Linked DNA regions of Nothobranchius furzeri. The protein of the gene in region 2 binds, or shares a complex with, the protein of the main gene of each other region. Links are inferred from orthologs where the notes say so. Each region holds a gene or a part of one and is shown on either strand. Other genes may lie near its edges. The genes, in order: polr1h, polr2eb and rrn3.

Region 1 (7,957 bases), on a different chromosome or scaffold from region 2:
CTGTAGGGTTCCTTTACCACCTTCAGAATGACAGAGGCTCAGATTTACTTTAACAAGATTTGAGCTGAATCTGGCAGCAGCCAATCATTCAAATTAATATAAAAAGAGAAATAAATCCAATGCTGATCCTGACAGGTATCATTAGAAGAGGGAGAGCTGACGAAGATGTTCTGAGAAACCCAGTGGGGGCCGGTAGAGTGTCAGGAGTCCTCCTTTTCTTGATATCTAAAACAAAAAAAGAAAAACCGTAAGTACTATCATCACCAAGAGTACCAAGAGACACAGCGGAGCCAGAGACCACCTGCAGTGGATACAAGTGAAGAAGACCGTCTGTCCTTCATCTGCTGATCTCATCTGCCTGGTGTGGTAAATCATCCCATCTTTACTGCACCGTGAGCAGCGTCTGTCCACCTACAGGGCGAAGATGGCATCATCAACAGTGCCAAACTCTTAGCATAACAAAGCTTTCAGCTAATGAGCTGGTCTTACCACGGGCCCTTTTAGGTCAGAGTCTCGATCATCCTTCAGAACCAACAACGGAGTCAGCTGGTTAAAGACCACCGAGGACTTGACCGTCTGACCAGAGAACTCTAGAGAAAAAGATTTGGATGTAAACGATGATCTGAAGAGGGTTCTGCAACATAAATAAGTAGGGTCCCGAACAATCGTACCCCCCTGGGAGGCAGAGCCTTTCTGTTCAGAACCAAAGCTGATTCATCGCCTTTGTTCCAGTATTAAACCGCACTGCAAGGATAAGTCCTTGGAACAGTGTAAAGCTCATGGTGGTGCAGTAACAAGTCAGTGGTTTTAATGTGGATATATTTTTTATGGCACTGCTGCCCACCTTTTAAAAAGTATTCATGTGAATAGTTTTTGTAGGTGTTTTTGTTATGACAGCAACAAGCAAATTAAACTGTTCTAAAAAGCTAAAACGATAAATTTTGAAAAAAAAAATAATAATTGTAATCCCTGATTGAAATATGTATTTTTTAAGTGTGTGTGTTTCTAAAATTCAAGATAATTGTGTTGGATTTCCCTCTTTCCTATTCAATCTCTCTCTTTATTTACATTTTTAATCACAATTGTCTATCTTTTGCTCATTTTAAATATATTTTTAATCATTTTCTAAATTCTTTTTTATATTTTTACATTTTTTGTTTTTGTGAAGCGCCTCGTGATTTTTATCTTGAGAGGCGCTATAGAAGAGATCTTTTCTTCTTCTTCTTCTTGGATGCGTATTGTTTTTAATGAAAAAACAATAAAGGAGAAAGGCAACAATCAGTCAGACTAAGCTCTCCCAGAGTTACCACAAGGACTGTCCTTCATCTGCCCATCTCAAATGCAGTTGACTCCACCTGCTGAGAAACTGAGGTCCTTCAGAGTATGCAGAACTCTGTGAAGGACTTTTTATGATTTGTCGGTTGCATCTGCCCTTTTCTATGCAGTGGCCTGTTGGGGAAGCGGATGTACAGACAGGGACCAGAACAGAATTGGCAAACTGGTGCAGAGGACTAGCTCTGTACTGGGATGCCCCCTGGAATCGGTGGTGGGCGAGAGGAGGATGCTAGCTAAGCTAACATCCATCATGAACAACACACATCAACCTGAGCAGCTCATTCAGTCAGAAACTGATATACCCCCGCTGCAGGAAGGAGCACTCCCGTAGACCACCGATTCCACCAGTAGATGGGATTTATAACACATTATGACGTCATTAGTCAGCCAGCCACTTAAACGCTACGGTCACTACTCCATGCAGGATGCACCTGATATATGTATTTGTTTGTGTGCTTACATGTTCATGCCTGTATTTACAGTAATCTACCACATAGACGGTAAATAGTAGCTGTAGCACAACAGCTGATACTTTTTATGTATTATTAATTCATGTGACACACGTGATCGCCAGTGGAATTAAGGTGAAAAACAAGCTAACTTTCCACAGTTTTCCTGTTTAGTGGCAAAACGACAGAGACCAAGTATCTAGCATAAAGTCTTGTTAGCTCACTTGGATCGCAGCTGTAAGGCGACCAAACATCACCTTCCAAATTATTTTCATTCTGGTAAATTACAGATGGTGTACGTTTTTATACATCGTTTCTTTCCCTCAACCGCAACATGCACACGAAACACACACGTACACAGAGGCTACACTCACCTACCGGTAAGCTAATGATACACAACATAACTTTTCTCGCTACACTTCTTCTGAGGGATGACAATTTTGATTGTTTTACTAGAAAAACCAACAAATTAAACGTTTACCTCTCATCTGGACGTTAAACAAGATAGCCGAAAAAGTCTGTTATGCAGAACTGCAGCTGCAACAATATGTCACCAGTGCTCCAGTCTTGGGTCTTTTATGTGGATCAAAACCATTTATAATGATGATTTTGTCCACATACCGGTCCCCGACGTCTTTATATAACATGTCCCTGTATATTCCACATCCTTGTTGGGATTTTATGTGATTTAACACTTTCTTTCACCCAAATCTGCTTCTACTCTGCGACAGTACCGTTTATTTCACAGTTTGCAGAATGCTATGCGTAATCACGTGTGATCACAAGCCCTACACAAAATCTGCTGATTTTAGAAGCATTAATGTCGGTATATCGGTATCGGTTTTCGGCCATAACGGTGATATTAATATTGTATATTTGTTTTAGCCCAAAAATTTCATATCGGTGCATCACTATCACGTTAAATACATTTACTGTGAAGTGATTTTTTTTTCTTTTTACTACACTTGTGGTACTTTGAGGAATCATCACCACCTCCACCCGGGTTCCCAAACAGCCTCTTGAATCAGGCCCTCACAAAGCTAGAAACGGCTCTGGGACACGTTACCTGAAACAGGAATGCAGAAGGAGCAGCGAGGACACAGGACAGTGTTGGAGGTTACTGGTACCGGAAGAACGTTCCCGCATTCAGGACAGAAGTTCGGGTCACCACTAAAATAAGACATCCCGTCGAACCGGGCTGCTGACTCTTGAGAAACACAGACACGTTGAAAACAACAATCAAAACCATGAACCACTGGTTTCCCGTTCGGTTCACATGGGTTCTGTTTCGTTCCCTCCTGACTGCCAGTGGCAGTAAACAGAGTGGATGTATCTCCTCGCGCTCTGCGCAGGTCGAGTACTAATGTAAACAAAGTCACGCACGTGACACGTAGCGCACCTGGTCGCGAGTCTATAAATTACGCGCCGATAGCTACGTTCGGGTCTCCCGGGATCTTCTCGCCCGAGAAGTTCCGAGTGACCCCTGTGACTGGCAGTCATCCAGGAACTCACAGAACCATAGTTACACCGTAACTTCCGTTATGAAGACTTAGCACTTTATAAATTAACACTTTAAAAGACCTCCTGGCTGTGTGATGAAATCTAACGAGTGAATGTTATTGTTATTATTAGCAGTAGTAGCAGCAGCACATTGAGCACGTGGAGCTACTTGGAAACCTTTTACATGTTTATATTAGTATTCGGCTATTCTTTACACATTTAGTTCAAAACAGCGCTACTGTCATCATTTATTAAGTCAGTATAAAACGTTACAAACCTCTTTCACCGGTCACTTGTTTGCAGTAGAGGTCCTAGGGTCCTATCCACAGCTATGTATATGGTCCTATCACGTTATTGTCGCAGGCTGATGACGCAGGACGTGCTAGTGTCGCACGCTTGTTTACGTGACATGAGTTAATGACCAAAATGTTATTTGGGAATAATTAAATTAATTCGCAAATACCATTAAATGGTGTCAAACAATAAAATAAGGTGGAAATATCATATAGCATCTCCAGAAGCATTTCAATACCAAAGTAAAGCATACGTGGAAATAATAAACAACACTAAACTCATAATTACTGTGCAGAGATTTGGGGCAACAATGACCAGGGGTGGTCCTAGCCTGTTCGGTGCCCTGGGCGAACACACTTTACTTTTAGATGCTGCTTCACTCAAGCCGCTTCAGCAGACCTGTCCTCCTCCCTCTGCAGCACGCAGCAGAACAAATGTTTCCAAAAGTTACACACACCAGCATAATGTTCAGGCACTGCGCTCCCAAAATAAGTTTTTTTTTCGTACCCATTTTGCCACCCCTCTCATGATGCCATCCTGGGCCATTACCCAGGTCGCCCATGTCAAAAACAGTACTGCTCATAACTGTTTATTTTTATCTATTTTACAAAAAAAAAAAAAAAAGAAGAAGAAAAAAAAGGCCACTAGAATAATCTACACATCGGTGGTTACAGATGTCACACAAACCAAATGTTCTTAAAATCACAAATTTTGAAATTTTCTGATTTAGTTTAGTTCACATTGGAGTGAAACTGGAACCGACCAGCTGAGACAGTGATGCTGTGTTTTCTTATCAGGCTGAAACCTATGATCATTCATTTGTTTGGTGCATGTATGTAGAAAATTTGAACGGATGTCTGACTTTTCCATAGGTGTTTTATTTTAATGAATTGTTTCCATATTATATTATTTGTGGACTCCTTTTAAATGTTAATGAAAATCAAAAATACAATTCATAATTTGAACACAGTAAAAGAATGACAAACAATAAGCCCTAATGCAAGTATTAATCTTTCTTTGATGATGTAGACATCACACATTCAGTAATTAAATGGTCCATCAATTCCTGCCATATAATGTGTCAGGGAGGAAACGGAACTTCACCAGCAGACGTGGATGGATCACAGAAGGTTGTTTCATCTTCCTTTGTTGTTTTCAAGACATCCCAGAAAAAGATTACAAAAAGTGGAGCATTAGAATAAAGCTTTGTGACTGAAGGTCGTGTTGCAAAATGTTATCATGAAGATTAAAATGTTTTAGCAACTTTATTAACAACATATCAATTCTACCATCATGTCTCACATGCCTCAGTGACAAATTTCTGGATTTAAATCATCCCAGTCCTGCCTGCAGAACACTTACTCGAAGTCATCAGTGCTTCCTGACTAACAGATCCACCCTTAGATTGTGTTACCAACCAACTCTTTGCTTTCACACAAGTATAGACAGGATGATGCTACCCCAAAGTTTTATGACATGACATCATGAGCGATGGCAGTTTTTGGCTCTTACCTTGAAGCAAACAAACCTCACCCTCATCTCCATGATCCAGCTCTGAGATTTGTGAGTCAGATTGGAATTATGTTACTTCTAAAAAAAAAAAAAAATAAGGGAATGACCAAATGTAAATAAAACCGTTACTCTCGGTAGGCATCTTGCTTGTAGGCCATTCCAAATGTCCTTGAAAAATTTGCCAGATGTTATTTTAAAAAAAAAGTATCTACTGAACTTTTGGGTTAATTAGCATAAATAATAGAATAAACAAACTGATGAAAAAATATCATAGACATGACACAAATCTAGTAGTTATAGAGAAATTATAAAATATTCAAAACATTTTCCTGGAGCAGCATAAACAGGTGAAGTCTTTATGTCCTCATCCAGCAAAACACGTACTAAACCCTCCTCTTTAGACTGAAGTTCTGGTTTTCTAGTTTTCTGCCTGATGTAGAACTGGACCATGATCCAGAACATACTGCTATCAGCAAATAGATTTAACGTGTAAGTCAAAAAGAGTAGAACAGTTCTAAACATGTACTCAGGGTAGATACGTATAATGGAATTAAAAAAACGTACCTGTTGCTAAAAGGAAATCTAATTTTAAAGGTATGTCACTTATTCCCATAAGTCCTAATGTAGCCACATGTTGGCCAGATGTTCTGTTTGTAGATACGTTTTTTTTTCTACCAGAATTGTAAGTGTAAACTAACTAAACGAAGAGACTCAACACCACGGACATTATTTTGGGAGGAGATTTTAATATGGTATGGTCTCAAGAACTGGAAATATTCTAAATGTAGAGATGAGGAAAACAATCTTATTAAATTTAGCAAAAGATTAAACTTAATGGACATTTGGCGACATCATAACCCAACAGCGAAACAATACACATGGAATAATAAAGATCTATCGCGCTGTTCCCGAATTGACTTGTGGCTGGTCTCTGATAACCTTCATGAACAGGTCACTGAAGTGAAAATAAGTCCTACTATTATGACAGATAAAAAAAAAATTTATTAAATGTAGTCTGTCTCAACAGCATAAAACAAAACAATTTAACTATTGGAAATTTAATAATTCTTTATTGAATAATAGTAGCTTTATAGAAACTACAGACTTTTAAAACGATATTGGGAACAAGCAGTCTCTACAAATGAGTTTGGGAAACATTGGGAACTGTTCACATATGAAGTTAGAAAACATGCCATTAGTTTCAGCAAAGACTTAGCTAAATAAAGAAAAGCTAGAATAGAATTTTTAATTAAATGTATATTGAAAATCGCTCTGAATCTTACTGATAATGAAAAATTATTACAGCTAAACTTTCAATCTGAATTAGATGACATTTATAAGGAAAAAGCTAAAGGCACATTCATAAGATCAAGACTAAAATGGTTGGAAGAAGGAGAGAAAAACAGTAAATATTTTTTTAACATTGAAAAAAGAAACATTGAAAGAAGTACCCTAAATAAATTAAAAATAGGAAATGCCATAACAACAGACTATAATACTATATCCAAATTTGTGTCCAAATATTATGCTAATTTCTACAAAATGGAAACATGTTCTGATTCATCCAATATATTTAATTCGCTTGACAATGTCAAAAAAGCAAGCACCACTCTTAGAGAAGAGTATGATGAACCATTATCCATTGAGGAAGTAAAATGGGGAATTAAAAATCTTAAACTCAACAAATCACCTGGTAATGATGGCCTCACAGGTGAATTTTACCAAACGTTTACTGTAGAAACCTCAAAATTCCTTTTGGCTGTTGAGACATATGACATATTTGCCAATATACTGTACAGCACACAACGTTCAGATGTGACCTTTTGAGACACCCATGTGAGTGCAAAGCCTGGTCTGACTCAACCTGACAACAGTCAAATTAGGCCCCCAAAGACACGGAAAGTCCCAGCTACAGTTGGAACATTCTACCACATGAGCTGCGCCTGGAGGAAGCAAAGCGTTAGAGCAAAACAAACAACACTCACACACACTCACAGCTCATGCATCCAGCATGAGCTGCACACGCACTCAACACCCAATCAGAAACAAGTGCATGAGCCGATCATGCGCTCCTCGACCTATCACAATAAGATACACCACAGGGGAACGAGCCAGACACATACTTAAACACTTGTCATCTTCAGTTCGGGTCAGACCATTGCTAGCACGCCGCGTGAACACTTAATGTATGTACACCGTGTTGGTCTCCACTCTCTTTTGATCGTGCATTAAAGCTGTTTCGATCCTTAGTTTTGACTCGGTCGTTTCCATCCACATCAACCAACTCGGGGAGGTCCGTATCCATCATTTTTGACCTCAACAATTTGGGGGCTCGTCCGGGATGTGGTAGGATAACGACAACGGGATCTGGACAACGATTACAAAATTCTTGCTTCAGTAATAGTCAAACGGCTAAAATATGGAATTAATGACATTATCCATGAAGCCCAAAATGGCTTCTTACCTGGAAGTCATATTTCTAACAATATTAGATTAGTTTTGGACTTGATAAATTATAATTAATTACTCTCTGGGGACCCAGTTATTCTTTTTTTAGACTTTCAAAAGGCATTTGACACAATTAACCATGAATTTATATTTGATACTTTAACCTTCTTAAACTTTGGTATTTTTTTCATCAAAGCAGTGAAAACACTTTATAGAAACAACAATAGCTCAGTCAAACTCATGTGTGGCACATTTCAAAGATTTAACGTAGAAAAAGGGGTGCGTCGGGGGGCCCAGCCTCCCCTTATATCTTCTTGCTAGTAGCCCATATTAAACTATTTAATACTACAATCACCTTTGAAGGGAATACAAATTTTTGACAAAGAAATCAAGATTTCGCAACAGACAACACTACTTTG
Region 2 (7,151 bases):
TCTTAGGCCTAGTCCACACGTAGCCGGGTTTTTTTTTTTTAAACGAACATCCGCCCCTCCAAAAACTTGCATCCACACCACCTCGTTTTAAAACAAAACTCTGTCCACACGTACCCGGATAAATACGTTGTTAAGGACATGCCAGACCTGTAGGCGGCAGTACTTCCCCCGTTCTTAACCTCGTCCTTCGTCTGTGGTCTTCCGCAAGGAGCAGTAATTCCGCTTGCAAAAACAAACGAGCAAAAAGCGCTTGGACAATTGATAAAGCGAGCGCAGCTCTGAGAGCATCCATGCTGTCGGCTAGTGTAAACACAGGTCGCACACGTGATGTCAGCAGTTTTTTGTCACGGAAAGTGACGTTGCAGACCTTAAAACTCCGGTTTTGTCCGTCCACACGCAGACACCCAAAACGGAGAAAACGCAGATCTTCACTTTGGCCGGAGTTTTTAAAAAGATCCGTTTTCGTGTGAAAAAACTCAGTTTTCATGTGGATGACAGGCCAAAACGTAGAAAAATATCTACGTTTTGGCAGATCCCCGGCTACGTGTGGACAGGGCCTCAGTTTTTACTGTTTCAACACACCTGATTTCAATCAGCAGGTAATTAACACTGAGCTGCTGCACAGGTGATTCAACCACTGAATCTAGTGTTTGAGCAGAGAAACCACTAAAAAGTGCTGGTACCGGCCCTCTATGCCCAGAATGTAATTCTCTACAAATCCTTAATCCATGCTCTATTTGCGGTTCTGTCCACACTTACCTTTGGGTCACTGCACCAGCCTGTAGGTGATGTACCTTCCAGCGGTTTCACTGGGTCTAATGATCTTCACCACCTGGGAAAACGCAGCTTGTGAGACACCGACTACCTTTACATGGAGCCAATATTCGGGTTCCAGAAACATTAACTTTAACATTTGGAATAACCCGTTTACATGCACAAGTAGAGTGTTACCCCTGTATACATGGAACTTCCAATATCCTGATTACATAGCGTCAGGACCAGGACGTACGGGCTACGTTAAGACGCAATTTGAGTCATTTGCTGTTTTTCTTCCTAAATAAACACCATGTGCATAATCCAACCACAAGAAACTGCAAAACAGCAAATGACACCTGATTTGACATCATTTGATGTTAATTTGTTTTTTTTTATCAGGTACAGTGCATATTAGGTAGCATTTGTGGTACTAATAACTCACATTACTACCTGTATTTATTATTACAATTGATCTTAGTTACGTAGCTATTGTGCTTATAAGGCGAGCTGCGTCTCGCCATGTTGACCTCTACGTGTTCACTTCCGGTTTACTTCTGCTGCTGCCGGTGCACGAGGCGCTCAAGCCCCTCTCCACATCTTCAGCTCGTCCACCTTACGTGCACGCTGTCAACGAGCTGCCCTGAGCACAGTGTCCAGTTTAATGCTCAGATGTTCTGATGGGAATCTTTTCCTGATTGGTGTAGCTGCCTCTGCGATGTGTGTAACGATTAAAATGTCAGCGCTTCTGCAGCCTTGAGGTTTCTCTGTCCAAATAAACGGTCAAACACGGGAAATAGCTGGTCAGTGAACCCTGCCGTTTAGCTGTTTTGCCTTCTTGTGAAGATTGTCGCAAAGAGAAAAATTAAACTCGATTAACACCAGTGCCATGCGCACTGCGCCGTTACCTCCATCACTGTAAATAAAGGAGAAAAACAAGTTGATTGAATCCTTTTCTTACCCTTTCCACATTGTTTAATGTAAAGTTTCGTTCTGTAGAAAGTTTAATGACAATCCAACGAGACAGAGCCTGGATTTGTTGTCTGAACAGTGTAAACATGTTTTAAAAGGAGACGCGTCAAAAAGCGGCACCTGCGCAGGGCCGGTAGGCCCACACACAACGCCACGGCTGTGGCTCCCAGTGTTTTCTTTACTGTGGGAAACGGGTAATAACGGCTCTTTGATGGGAAAAGGTTGCCGACCCCAGATCTACTCAAACGACCAAGATTCCTTGTGAATAGAACATGCGCACCTTATGAAAGGGTTATCCCGATACGAGTTTACATGACCTGATACTTGGGTTAGAAAAGGGTTACCTCCAGGGTTAATTACCCGGTTTGTAAATACCCGGTTATGAGCACAACTGGGTTTTTGCCGGTGTTTACATGGCCGTGTGGAACCGGGCTATTGGCTGCATGAAAGCACGGTCACAGTTGGAAAACTCAAAACTATTTGTGTTTGCATTTGGACAATAACTGTGCCCATGACAACCCAGCAGTTTGTGTAAAATGTAAATGAGTGGCAAATAATATACAAGTGATGTTAGAGAACTCATGATGTGACATGTAATAATGAAAACTGGTCACAGGTCCTGTACAACTCTTACATGTGAACAGGAAGTACTCGGTGCTTTACCTGTCCTCTTTTCAAGCCAAAGTAGCGCGCCACAGGGTCTCCAGCCTGAATCCTCGGTAACTGACTTTCTTTTAGTTTACTGAAGTAATCATGTTAAAGAAAACAAAGGTATGTGAAATAAAAGCCCTCAAGCGTCAACACAAAACCTGCAGCATAGTAAAAAGAGGAAATCAGTAAGGATACTATCTTGCTAGAAGCTCGGTCACTTCCTCCTTCGTCATGACGATGTGCTCAGGTACAAGCTGAAAGTTCAGACACAAAACTGAAACCCACTATTCTCAGTATGTACACAAAAAAAAGAACATGATATGCTTTTTACCTCGTGCTCGGTGATATTAATAAGCAGCTCCTGTTGTAGAAACTGCTCCAGTATGTACTTCGGTGCCATGTCCACCAAAGACTGTCAGGAAATTCAGTTTCAACTTATTAGACAGGACAGTGAAAGCCAAATAAAGACAATTTTACTGATAAAATTACATGATCTTTTTTCTTTCTCCATAATAATGGTGTTTACCTTGGGCCTATAACAAGCTCTCCTCGGTGACACTCACCTGACTAGAAAGGGTGCTCGCTGCAGAACCACAAAGGCGGAGCTGCACCAGAGTCAGCCCCGCCCACTCACGCAAACAGCCTAGCCCACTGACTTCTTCTGTTTTTTATTTTTTTATTTTGTAGCAAACTAACCTAACCCACATGAATTACGGCTGTTACTAGTTTACAAATGTTAATGCTACGTTCTATGCTCCAATTAAACAAGATAAATATAACTTGCTACGTGACAAAGCCTGAATATATCCCGAAATGAAAAGGTTTCTTTTAGCGAATATCTGTCCATAGCCGCTCCAACAGAACCGGGCTACAAAAGCATTTAAGGACAATTGTTTGGTGAGCCCTGGTAATCTAGTGGCAACATCGTCACACCTAAGTTTTGCTTTCCCCTCAGCTGATGTAGGTTCAACTCTCGGTGGGGTCGGCAGCTATCTATTTATCCAGCTGAAACATTTAATTTGTTTATATTTTAGTTGTAATGTTTATTTTCTGCAAAATATTTATATCTCTAAAAGTTCTTTGAATTTGGTCGTTCCTAAACAGCATTTTAGTTGGAGCTCTGCTCACAAATGGACTCACACTGGCTAAATAACGAATAAATAGAAAAACAAACACATTAGTCATTATATTGTAAACGGTATACCAATAAATGGTTAAAAACATAGTACTGGCAAGTGTAGCTAGAAAAGAAGAAAAAAGTTTGCGCCGTTACCGGGAGGTGAACCTGCGCAAAATTACATGACAAGCTGACTGCACAACCAGTTCACCACTACATCTGATAACAAGCTAGTGGCATCACATGTAATTGTCCCATCCAGTGTGTTTTTGTAGATGGGATGTATGGTTTTTCAGCGGTGTCTCAGTAGAAGTCATTTCAGAGATAATTTGTCAGAAAATTCACAGAATATCCAGATTTGAGAACCAAGACCAGACCCGCTTCGGAGGAGAGGACCAAATTGAAGCTGAGATGGGAGGAAAATGTGTGAATGAGGCCAAAAATGGCTTTGGCGTGTTTCTTATGAGGAAATGATAATATAACATAATAAAAAGTTCCAAAAGTTAGATTTTTAATTATATGGAAACCTTTACAAAAACGGTTCAGTTAACCTCTCAACTCAGTCCTCAATCCTGCATTTTAGATGATATTAGCTATATCACCCTCTTTGGTTCCAGGATGCTATTAAGTCTGACAACTGGAAGGAATTGGACTGACTCTGATGGAATGGGCGGGGCTGACTCTGGTGCAGCTCCACATTTGTGGCTCTGCAGCGAGCACCACTTGCCTGTCTATGGGACTGTGGAACAGCCAATCAGCAGTAAACAAAGCAGACTTCATTACTGCATATGCCAGTCACCTGTCACTTGATGCCCTGGCTCTCACTGAGACCTGGATCAAACCTGGTGACGATGAACCCAGCTGCACTCTCAATCAACCACACTTCTCATGCATCTGGCCGAGGTGGTGGAACAGGCATGTTAAGTTCCAACAAATGGAAATACAGTCAGTTGCTACCCATAACTAAGTACATCTCCTTTGAATACCATGCCATCTGGGTAACTGCACCGAAAATTATTCTTTATGGTTGTTATATATCGACAACCAGGACAACACGGAGACTTTCTAGATGAACTTGACACCCTGCTCTCCTCCATTCCTGAGCATGACTGTCCCACAATGGTCCTTGGAGACATGAATATTCATCTGGACAACCCCATTTCATCAGGTTTCCTGTCCTTAATGTTATCATTTGATCTAAAAACGGTACAAAGTTCATTCTCTGCCAGCATCACTAATGCAAAGAAAGCTTTCTACACTGACAAAATTCTCAGCACTTCTGACACTCAGAAACCAACTCCCTTCCTCCAAATCGTGTGGAGAACTACCGACCTATCTCTCTCCTCCCGTTCCTGTCTAAAATCATCGAAAAGGCGGCCTTCAAGCAGGTTGCAGAGCACCTCTCACAAAACTATCTGCTTGACCCATACAAATCTGGGTTCAAAAATGGCCACTCCACTGAAGCCTTAAAATAAGCTAGAGCGACTGCCCAAATCCTCAGTGCTTATCCTGCTTGACTTATCTGAATTTGACACAGTCAACCGTGGCTTCTTTTTGTCCATACTCTCTAGCATGGGCATCACAGGGAAAGCACACTCCTGGTTTGAATCTTACCTGACTCGGACAATCTTCTGCTGTTTACCATCTTGCCACAGGAGTCCCCCAGGGCTCTTTACTAGGACCTCTTCTCTTTGCCACATACACCACCACATTGGGTGAGATCATTCGATCGCATGGCCTCTCCTACCACTGCTATGCTGACGACACCCAGCTCTATCTGTCATTCTCGTCCGGACGACCTCACAGTCTCTGTACAAATCTTGGACTGTCTTTCTGATATATCAAGATGGATGAAATCTCACCATCCCCAACTCAACCTCTCAAAAACTGAATTACTTGACATCCCAGCAAACCCATCCATACGACACAATATCTCAATGCAAAACGAGCCCCTATCTCTGGCTCCTTCACACACAATTTGAAATTTGGGTGTTGTGATTTATGACCAGCTGACCTTTAACTCATTACCTTCCGGTCGTTTCCTGATCAGTAAAGCCCTTCGCTGCCAGAGGTTTTCAGCGTTTTCACAGTTTTTTGAAAAGTCACCGAACGTTGCACTCTATGATGATGTCAACGCCCAAACTACCAAAACAAAGAGTAGACTCACCTCTTACATCTGGAATAATCTGCGTGTTTAGAGTGTTATCCATTTTTTCATAATCCGTTGTCGAATTGTGATCGGCAGAAGCTTTTCTGGATCGTGCCTCACTTTTTTTTTTACAGCAGCAGCCCAAAACGATCTCCTAACACATGGATTTTTTGCTTCCTGATCATGTGACGTGTGATGTACATGGATAAAGATCAGCTTTAGAGCTGGGATGTTTGTTCTCACGGTACGGGAGCTCGTTCCGACACCCACACAGTAAAAAAAAAAATACAAATGATGACTTTAGTCATCAATGGCAGGAAATGAGTTAAAGATCAAGTTGCCTCTGTCACTCGTTCATGCCGCTTCATGCTGTATAACATATAAAAGATCAGACCATATCTAACAAAATATGCCACCCAGCTCCTGGTTCAATCTACAGTCATCTCCAACCTCAACTACTGCAATGCCCTTCTAACTGGTCTTCCTGCCTGTACTGCGAGATCTCTTTGACCTTGTCCATTTTCAAGAAACTCCTGAAGACCCAGCTCGTCAGAGAGCATCTTCTAAGCTAGCACCCTCCCTGCACCCGTCCCCCACTCTACTGTCCACTCCTTATTCACTTCCCTTTACGATTCATTATGCTGCCTCACTGCCACCTAGGATTGACTGATTAGTGTTTGTTGTAAGCCTCAAGGGCAACCTGCTGGCTTCATTATTACTTGTAGGTCTTTTGGACAAAAGCGTCTGCTAAATACATGAACATAAACATACCTGTTTTGCTGAAGGCGTCATGCCCATCTGAACAACGATGATGGCTCGAGTGATATTCTCCTCCTGCATTCTCTGACAGTACATTTTAATGGTCTTGATCCCCACCTTGGGTTCCTCTGGTGGGACAAAAATGGACAAAAAAAAGATGAATTCATAACAATTTTCTTCAAATCAAACACGCTTCTCTGTTCCAAATGTAATCACCCAGTTACTTCTAGAAAAGACTGATGCACTGAGCAAAAGTCACAAAAGTCACCTGGTCTCCATTTCTGTTCAATCTCCCAGTTAAAATAAACATACCGGGAAAGAAAACAAACATCTGGTCAGTGGGATCATCATTGTGTGCCACCAGCACCGTGAGATCTGTTCGTCTGGGACGACCTTCGCTCGGTTTGTCTCCAAACTGACTCTTGAACTCCTCCAGAGTCTGGTCCAACTCGTCCTGGGTCACAAGGTAACCTCGATCATGGCACAGCTGAAGGAGGAAAACATCAGAGAAGGTATCAGAAAACTCATTTAATAAACATTAAAATTAAATAATTCGTCTGTTATTTTGTCGAACTTAAACACACTTATTTAAATTTTACAGAAACAATTGTTGCAGTCAGGTTAGAGCCGCTAGTCTTGCTTCGTACTTTGGTAAACTGCTTAAAATACCAGTGGAACAAGTGTTGAACAAGCTAGTGTTTAGCCAGGCTGTCATAATGTTAAAATAAGGAGTACACAAGTCAAATTTAA
Region 3 (7,957 bases), on a different chromosome or scaffold from region 2:
ACAATTTAAGTGAATGGTAACAGCTAGCATTTGTGTGAAAAAAAAATCATCAAATTACCTCATAATAATCCTAGGTTTTCTTGGCGACCTAAATAATAATTATAAGTAATAAGTAACACAAAAGTATTACAGGTGTAGCGACATGAATGGCCTCATTTGTGACCCAAAGGTCACACTTCCTCAGCTGGGTCGAGCTGTCCTGGCTGTACTTCTGTTTACAGATTATCCGTCACAGGAGACACAAAGTCTGCTGTAAACCATCTTCATCTGACTGCCATTCCGTCCCAAGACGAAGGGCACTTCAAGATTTAAAAGAATAATTTTTAATAAACTCTTTTCACTGTCTATTACAAGGTTCATAAATAATCATCATGGTTCATTATAAATGTATTTATTACTGAAATGAATTATTATTCTTTGGTTCATAATAATTATTTATGATAATCAGTAATCTTTAACAGTATAAAGAAGGTCATGTGCGCTTATACACACCATGCAGGACACGGACATCAGGGTAAAGGTAACTGCTCTCACATGTCTTTGTTCCATAACCAAAGCTTTCTATCTCTGAGACGGCATGTCCTGAGGTTTAATAAAACCAAAACTACTCAGTTCAAGTTCAGTTCTTGAGCTCACCAAAATCTCTCTGTGGCGACGAGAGTCCCAGAGGATCGGGTCGGCCGCTCGAAACCTCCACTAAGCTGTTCTGTCACGCTGATAGAATTGCTTCACAGAAACGCCATCTGCAACAAGCTGATGCAAAACTCCTTCAGAGTTATTGATTTTTGAGACTCAACCAGTTTCATCAGTCGTTGTGACCCGGAGACATCTCAGGACCGATTTGGTTGCACCATGGTTCTTCTACCCACCTCGTGCTTCGAGGTCATCATCTCCTCCTGACATCTCGGATCCAAGAAGGGGGTCTCCTAACTGGGTGAGGTAGACACTTCCGACAGATAGCGTTCGTATGCCTGTTTCTTTAAGAAATAACTTAGTTCAGCTGCAACCCAACTCTTTCACCCAGAACGCATTTTCCCTCTCTGATAGAAACCTTCTGAGACCCATGCACACATCCAAACCCACACATTTCATTTTAGTTCATCCAGACACAGGGTTGCTTTAATACCAAGTTTTAATATCAAAGCTTTTTTTAAATTGTCATTTATGAATTGCCTTTTAAATTGTCATCTTTAGAATGTTAGTAATGCATTCTTAACTTTTAAACCTGACTCTTCTTTGAAATGAAACACAGAGTGGTGTATATTTGGTTATTGAACGAGCAAAGATTCCTTTTAAATCTTCTGATTTAATAAATAAACTTTTGCTATTAATTAAATCTCTTAAATTAAATATTAATCTTTGGATTAAATATAGACCAAGCCAGTTGGTGTATGAACTTCTATCGATTATATAGATATCCGTGGATATCTATACATGATATAAGTTTAATTTGCTTATTTGTTTGATCTTTCTCAGGATCTAACAAAGCTGCATAGCAAACAGCGTTAAATCCTGGTTATGTAGAGTGTCTACGCTACACAGGAGTCTATTTAGATTTGGGATTAAATGATGACAAAGCAAAAGAGGGGCATAACGCAGCACCCGAACGCTCTGATGATGGCCATCATCTGTCAAACACGGTGCATATGGGCTACATAAGGTAACTCACTGCATGGTGGTTGGCCGGGGAGGGGGGGTGGTGGTTAGTTAGAGTTCCTCCTACGTCCATCACAGCGGTGGGTGGGGTTTGAGCGGGTGTGGTTAACCGACTTCGGGGGAGGTTTGTTACCGGAAGACAAGATGAACGGCTCTCTACGGGGTCTCGGCCTTCATCATTCACTTTGAAAATCTGTTCACATCACTAGAAAGTAGTCCTTATCCTGTATGATTTGTCTCTGAACATGGTGCTGGAACGTGTCAACAGTGAACCAACTGATTGCTGGAAAATTAGCCCTGTTGTTGCAATGCCACCTGTGAACACCAGAGTACACCAGAGTGTTCGCCAGAGTTCATGTTCCACATTCAACCTTTAAACAAATTGTTTATGGAAATGTTATCTAAACACATTCATGGATTTAAAATGTATGTTCTGAATAAAGAAGATTAATTTGATTTAATAATATACTGCCATTGACGACAAAACTCATCATTTTAAATCCAGTCACCCTTTTTATAGGGCGGGTGTGCGAATGAGCCCCTGCACCGTGACAATAAACATCACATCTCTAAAGCCCGTTTTACACAACGCACCATGCCAGCAAATCGGCGTAATATTACCGCAGCAGTGTCTCTTATTACGCGCCATATGCCGGTGTGGCATTGCGCAAAATTTGACGCCGTCACCTGATTTTCTATAAAAAGGACACGATTGCATCACATTACCGCCACGGTCTGACCACTTATAAACGTTCTAAGAGTCCCTGCTGACGCCACGGCCTTGTGGCAAATTGACGGCATTGTTTTGTAAAAACGGCTTAAAGCTGATCTTCATCTGTGTACGTCACACGTCACGTGATCAGGAAGCAGAAAACCCATGTGTTAGGAGATCGTTTAGGGCTGCTGCTGTAAAAAAGCGAGGCGTTAACTGGAAAGGCTTCTGCAGCTCACAATTTGACCAACGGATTATGAAAGAGCAGATAAAGCCAGAAACTTGCTGATTCTTCCTGATGTAAGAAGTGAGTCTATTATTTGTTTTGGTAGTTTTGGCATTTACGTGATCCAAGAACACAATGTTCTGTGACGCAGCAAAAAACTGTAAAATGCTCAAAAACACTGGCAGTCCGGGGCTTTTCTATTCAGAAAACGGCCGGCAATGAATGAGTTAAGGGGGGGGGGGGGGGGGGGGGCATGGCCCCTGGACTCTGACTAGAGCACTTCCGCCCCTGGATTCCTTGGTAGTTCTGCTGTTGTGTTTGGGTCATGGATCTGTTTGATGATCTGGTTCAGTTCAAGCTTCAGCTGGCAGACAGATTGACTCTGAGACTCGGTGGTCACTGAAGGAGTTTCTGATTAACTCGATTACTGTTTCTTTTTATTTCCGACGTTCTCAGTCCAAACAGGTACACCAAAGTTTGTCTGAAGGGATGCAGCCTGTGGATTTCATCCGTTCATTTCATCACGACGTAAAGCAGCAAAATAAAATCGGATGCATTTACCCTCTCAGGCTCAAAAATAAGTTTTGATAAAAGGACGAACAACTAAGTCCTTCAGGGGTTCTGAGTTAAAACATGCTCATGAAATACATGTGTGGGGTAACCAGGTAGGTAGGTTTTAACGTTGCACATCTGCAACGCCGACCTCTAGAGGGTTAAATCAACCCAGTCAAGCCCTGTAAAAGAGTGTAGCCAGTCCCACCCAACATGGGTATCAGGTTGTGACCTTTGAACTTAGTTGAGAGAGACCACTGGTTTTTCTCCAGGATGCAGAACAACATTGATCTGAAGTGTTTATTTTTCTTTTCACCTATTTATTTTAGCAAAAAGTAGAATACTTTTTTTTCCCCTTAAAATGTGCTTGAGGTAATATGTTTTTCTAAATGACACACTAGTCTGGTAGAGAAACAAAACAAAGTACAATAAAGATATAAAGTTTCAGAGGCACAGTAGATGTGATGATCACAGTTTGCTATGTGAAAAAATCCACAGTTTTAGTTAATTATGCTCAACACTTCAAAGAAATTGATGAACTGTGAAAAAAATAATTCTCAGGTGCTTAAATTTAACATTTGTTTTCCCTGATGAACACATTATATATTTTGAATTAGCAATCTTGTAGCACACAGGTGGTAAATTCTTACAGAAACTATATTTAGCTAATATTACATTCAGGGTGAAACACAGTTATTTATCGTAAAATAATGCTTTTCTGTTTACTGTAAAAAAAAAAAAAAAAAGTGGGTCTCGCGCACCGCGGGAAGAGTTTTAATGTGACACCTCATCACTCTGTTCCGGAAACACGTGATTTCTTCCGCCTGCGCTCACAGCAGCTTGCCTTTGCTTTTCACTAGTGTTTTGGGGTCTTGTATTGATATTGTTCCCCGTCTTTATTCCGGTGAAATGAGAGAATACGTTAACGTATACGTTTAGTTTGATGATAGCCACGTTAGCTCGTGGAAACCAGCGCGTGGCCGGAACCATGGATGCAGACGGTAGGGACTTCCTCAACTCTCCTCCGGCCAAGACGGTCCGGTTTGGGGGGTGCGTAGCGGAGACTCTGGAGAAAGCCAGACACGTGAGTGCTGTAGCTGGTCCAGTCCAGGGCATGGTAAAGACAACAGCTAGACTTCTCTGGCTTAACATGATCTCGGCCAAGTTTAAACTGATAGATGTTAAAGATAAAAAAGCAACATGTTTAATTGGGACCCAAGGTGCCTCGAGGGTTAAAAGACGAGGAATGAGTTTTAACTTTAAACCAAAAACATGAATGTTTCAAATACAGGTGGAAGGTGAAATATCCTGGGTGGTTGTGCTGTGGCAGAATCATTTTACTTTAGTTTGATACGATTGTTAGCAGCAGGAGCAGCTCCTTTCACCTTCCTCTAAGAGCCCTGTGTCCTGATGAGGCGCTTGTCTGTTTTTGAAGGGGGACACAAATGACTACGAGCTGCTGAAGCATCAGCTGGTGGATCCTGAAATCAAGGTAAAACCTCTGAGGCTGATCTTGGGTCGGTGTGAAGGTGCGAATAATGGTCATGTCTCTCTGGACAGGATGCTCAGCTCATCAGCTGGCTGCAGGAGTTTCGGAGCTGTGTGACTCAGTTGACAAAGGACCATGAGCAGCTGGTTTACACGATTCTGGTGAGAGGACAGCTTCACTGATGAGGAGAGCTCAAACCTTCATTTGATCAGATTAGATGGTTCATTTCCCTTAGATTATCTGATTGAAAACAGAACTTAGTTCAGTGATTTCTGTAATTATAGGGAACAATTGTTAGCTGTTTGCAATGTCAGCTGGCTCCTATTCATGAGGAGGAGGAGGTGGATCTAGTCCTTCCTCCTAAGCCGGGCGTACACTGTGTGACTTTTTCACTCGTAGCACTCAGCTTCAGCTCACACTGTACGACTTCCTCGCAGGGCAGATCTCACGAGTCAGGTGCTCACACTGCACGACCCAGTTCTCGCATGCGACCTGACTGCTCACACTGTACGTCTGGTAGCAACATGTCGGACCTAAAAATGTGCTAAAAATAGCAGTTTTTACTCAACACGTCAGACTTTTTTGTTTTGTTTTGCCTGTTGTCCTTCGGGAGTGCTGCAGGAGGACACACAGGGATTTATGGGGGTTGGATGAGGAAAACAAAATAAAGAAAGTAAATCTGTGTTTTGTGATCAGTTTAATTTGACATGAACACGACAAACACGCTTTCTTGACAATCTTTGTGAGTAAAAAACGTGTAGAAACAAAAATGAGCAGCGTGTGTTATTAGGGAAATAGCGGACGAGCAGTGTTGATGCAGGATTGCGCCGTGAGCGGTTCTGATACTTTTTGGGTCGCAGCCGCTCGCAGCGCCGCTTCAACAGTGCGATACCCTCACGAGGAACGAGCGAAATATTAAACACGCCAGAAGTTTGTGCGACCTCACGATTGCTGATCGGTAGCTGGTCACGTGGTGTTACTCGCCTCTCGTAACCCCTGTACACTACACGACGCTCAGCGCACACTGTGCGACTTTTTCACTTTTTTGAGCCGATTTTCCAGTCGTGCGAGAATCCACAAGATCGGGGCGAGTTTTGCGCCGAGCGGTCGTGTAGTGTACAGGGGGTTACGAGAGGCGAGTAACACCACGTGACCAGCCGCCGATCAGCAGTCGTGAGGTCGCAGGGACTTCTGGCGTGTTTAATATTTCGCTCGTCCCTCGTGAGGGTATCGCACTGTTGAAGCGGCGCTGCGAGCAGCTGCGACCCAAAAAGTATCAGAACCGCTCACGGCGCATGCGCGCGCAATCCTGCATCAACGCCGGCCGGTCGCTCGCTATTTCCCTAATAACACGCTGCTCATTTTTGTTTCTACACGTTTTTTTACTCACAAAGATTGTCAAGAAAGCGTGTTTGTCGTGTTCATGTCAAATTAAACTGATCACAAAACACAGATTTACTTTCTTTATTTCGTTTTCCTCATCCAACCCCCATAAATCCCTGTGTGTCCTCCTGCAGCACTACCGAAGGACAACAGGCAAAACAAGACAAAAAAGTCTGACGTGTTGAGTAAAAACTGCTATTTTTAGCACATTTTTAGGGCCGACGTGTTGCTACCAGACGTACAGTGTGAGCAGTCAGGTCGCATGCGAGAACTGGGTCGTGCAGTGTGAGCACACGACTGTGAGATCTGCTCTGTGAGGAAGTCGTACAGTTTGAGCTGAAGCTGAACGCTGCGAGTGAAAAAGTCGCACAGTGTACGCCCGGCTTTAAGGCTGCAGAGGAAAGTCAGCTCAGCTACTTGTGTTCAAGGACCCCCCCCCCCCCCCCCCCCCCACACACAGGGGCTCTCCTTGGGGTCAGCAGCCCCCGGGGGGCTGGGAAACCCACACACTGGTTGCGTTGGTACAGCTAACGGTGTTTCTGAAGAGCACCCAACTTTTTGACCATTTTACATCAAAGATTTGCAGGTTCATTGTTTTTAAATCGCACACAAACAAAAAATGGCCTTTCATAGAAGTAAAGTAGATTTGTAAAGGATTAGCTAACAATATAAAACAGCCGAGTAGCCACGTGCCCCTCAGATGTCCAAATGCTGTAGGCCCTTCTAGATCTACACAGATCAACAGTTATGTCATAAAGTTTTTAGTTTTTGTTATATTTAGATTTTTTTTTAAAAGGTTAATGCTGCAATGAGACTGTAGTCACCCGGTAAAGGGTCATTTTAGCATCCTCTGGCTCCAGGGCTAGGGTTAAAGGGGACCTTTAGTTCACACATTTCCTGCTCATAAGGTCAGCTGGCTCCGAGGCTCTGCACTGCAGACCAGGGCTGCATCACCTGGGAGGCTGATGGTTGCGTGTCAGAGCTGTGGGAGTGGGCTCCTAGGACTTCACTTGGTAAAAATATTGCCAATCGTTTTTTTTTTTAAATTTTCTCTCATCTGCGCTGCGTCCACGGTGTTTACCTGACTAGCACAAACGAAAACACGCACTGGATCGGCTGTGGTCCAGCCAATCAGAGTAGAGTGTCTGATGGTGCTGTAGAAATGTGTGGTCATTATTTTGGCGTGGCGTTCGTGTCGCTCTTCCAGAGGGTTCCGTGGGCCGACCGCTGTCAGGCTGTGGTGGATGAGTACTTGGCCTTCCTGGGTAACCTGGTGTCCGCTCAGACCGTCTTCCTGTGTGCCTGCCTGAAGATGGCGGTCTCCCTCTTCACTCCCAGTAGGTTCCTCTGAGTCAGACTCGGGCCTTTCGTCACGTTTGAAAGTTGGGCTGCACGCGGAGAACGAAGGAGGTGTTGTTTGATTTCAGAGAGAGTGACCATTCACGAGGGTGGAGTGGACATCTCTGATTCGGATGATGAAGATGAGGGTGAGTTCTTGAATTTTTCACTTATTTTACATCATAACACATGAAGCTGAATTAGGACTACTGGTAAAGTAGCAGCAGCAGTGCTACTGAACAGGTGAGAGAGCTCAGGTAGACTCCACAACAAACATCTTGAAACAGAAATGACGTTTGTAACTAAATATTACTGAACGCATTCTTCTGCTTTTAAGACCTCCCCAGAAGCTTCGACCGGAGTCACCAGGCGCTGCAGCTCATCGTCAGATATGTGCCCTCGTAAGTTGCTCCACTCTGTTTCCCCTCGTCTTGTCTTCCTGCTCCACTAGGTGGCGTGAGTGAGTCCCTCTGCTGACGGACTTTCACTGGCTAGGTAGATATTACCATGCAGTCTTCCCAGGTGTGAGGTGAGCGGGTATAAATAAGGACGACAATGGAAAACAAACGGAACGGCATTCCCGCACCTGCATAGCTAAAAG

The links.
Region 1: polr2eb (region 2) and polr1h share a complex: the UniProt entries of both Homo sapiens proteins name them as parts of the pol I pre-initiation complex. The link is inferred for Nothobranchius furzeri from reciprocal best matches to the Homo sapiens genes POLR2E and POLR1H.
Region 3: polr2eb (region 2) and rrn3 share a complex: the UniProt entries of both Homo sapiens proteins name them as parts of the pol I pre-initiation complex. The link is inferred for Nothobranchius furzeri from reciprocal best matches to the Homo sapiens genes POLR2E and RRN3.

What each region holds. Positions count from the first base shown.
Region 1 is NC_091751.1:25,532,661-25,540,617, reverse strand, and holds the start of polr1h (DNA-directed RNA polymerase I subunit RPA12), read right to left. Parts: upstream 3,666-7,957; 5' UTR 3,562-3,665; intron 2,992-3,561; 5' UTR 2,969-2,991; coding exon 2,851-2,968; intron 591-2,850; coding exon 490-590; intron 412-489; coding exon 302-411; intron 226-301; coding exon 201-225; 3' UTR 1-200. UniProt on the Homo sapiens protein: Core component of RNA polymerase I (Pol I), a DNA-dependent RNA polymerase which synthesizes ribosomal RNA precursors using the four ribonucleoside triphosphates as substrates. Can mediate Pol I proofreading of the nascent RNA transcript.
Region 2 is NC_091748.1:48,496,054-48,503,204, reverse strand, and holds part of polr2eb (DNA-directed RNA polymerases I, II, and III subunit RPABC1), read right to left. Parts: intron 6,889-7,151; coding exon 6,714-6,888; intron 6,530-6,713; coding exon 6,414-6,529; intron 2,789-6,413; coding exon 2,708-2,788; intron 2,631-2,707; coding exon 2,572-2,630; intron 2,468-2,571; coding exon 2,389-2,467; intron 833-2,388; coding exon 767-832; 3' UTR 760-766; intron 1-759. UniProt on the Homo sapiens protein: DNA-dependent RNA polymerase catalyzes the transcription of DNA into RNA using the four ribonucleoside triphosphates as substrates.
Region 3 is NC_091758.1:12,121,252-12,129,208, reverse strand, and holds the start of rrn3 (RNA polymerase I-specific transcription initiation factor RRN3), read left to right. Parts: upstream 1-3,954; 5' UTR 3,955-4,089; coding exon 4,090-4,230; intron 4,231-4,581; coding exon 4,582-4,638; intron 4,639-4,706; coding exon 4,707-4,796; intron 4,797-7,225; coding exon 7,226-7,355; intron 7,356-7,445; coding exon 7,446-7,505; intron 7,506-7,693; coding exon 7,694-7,757; intron 7,758-7,957. UniProt on the Homo sapiens protein: Required for efficient transcription initiation by RNA polymerase I (Pol I). Required for the formation of the competent pre-initiation complex (PIC).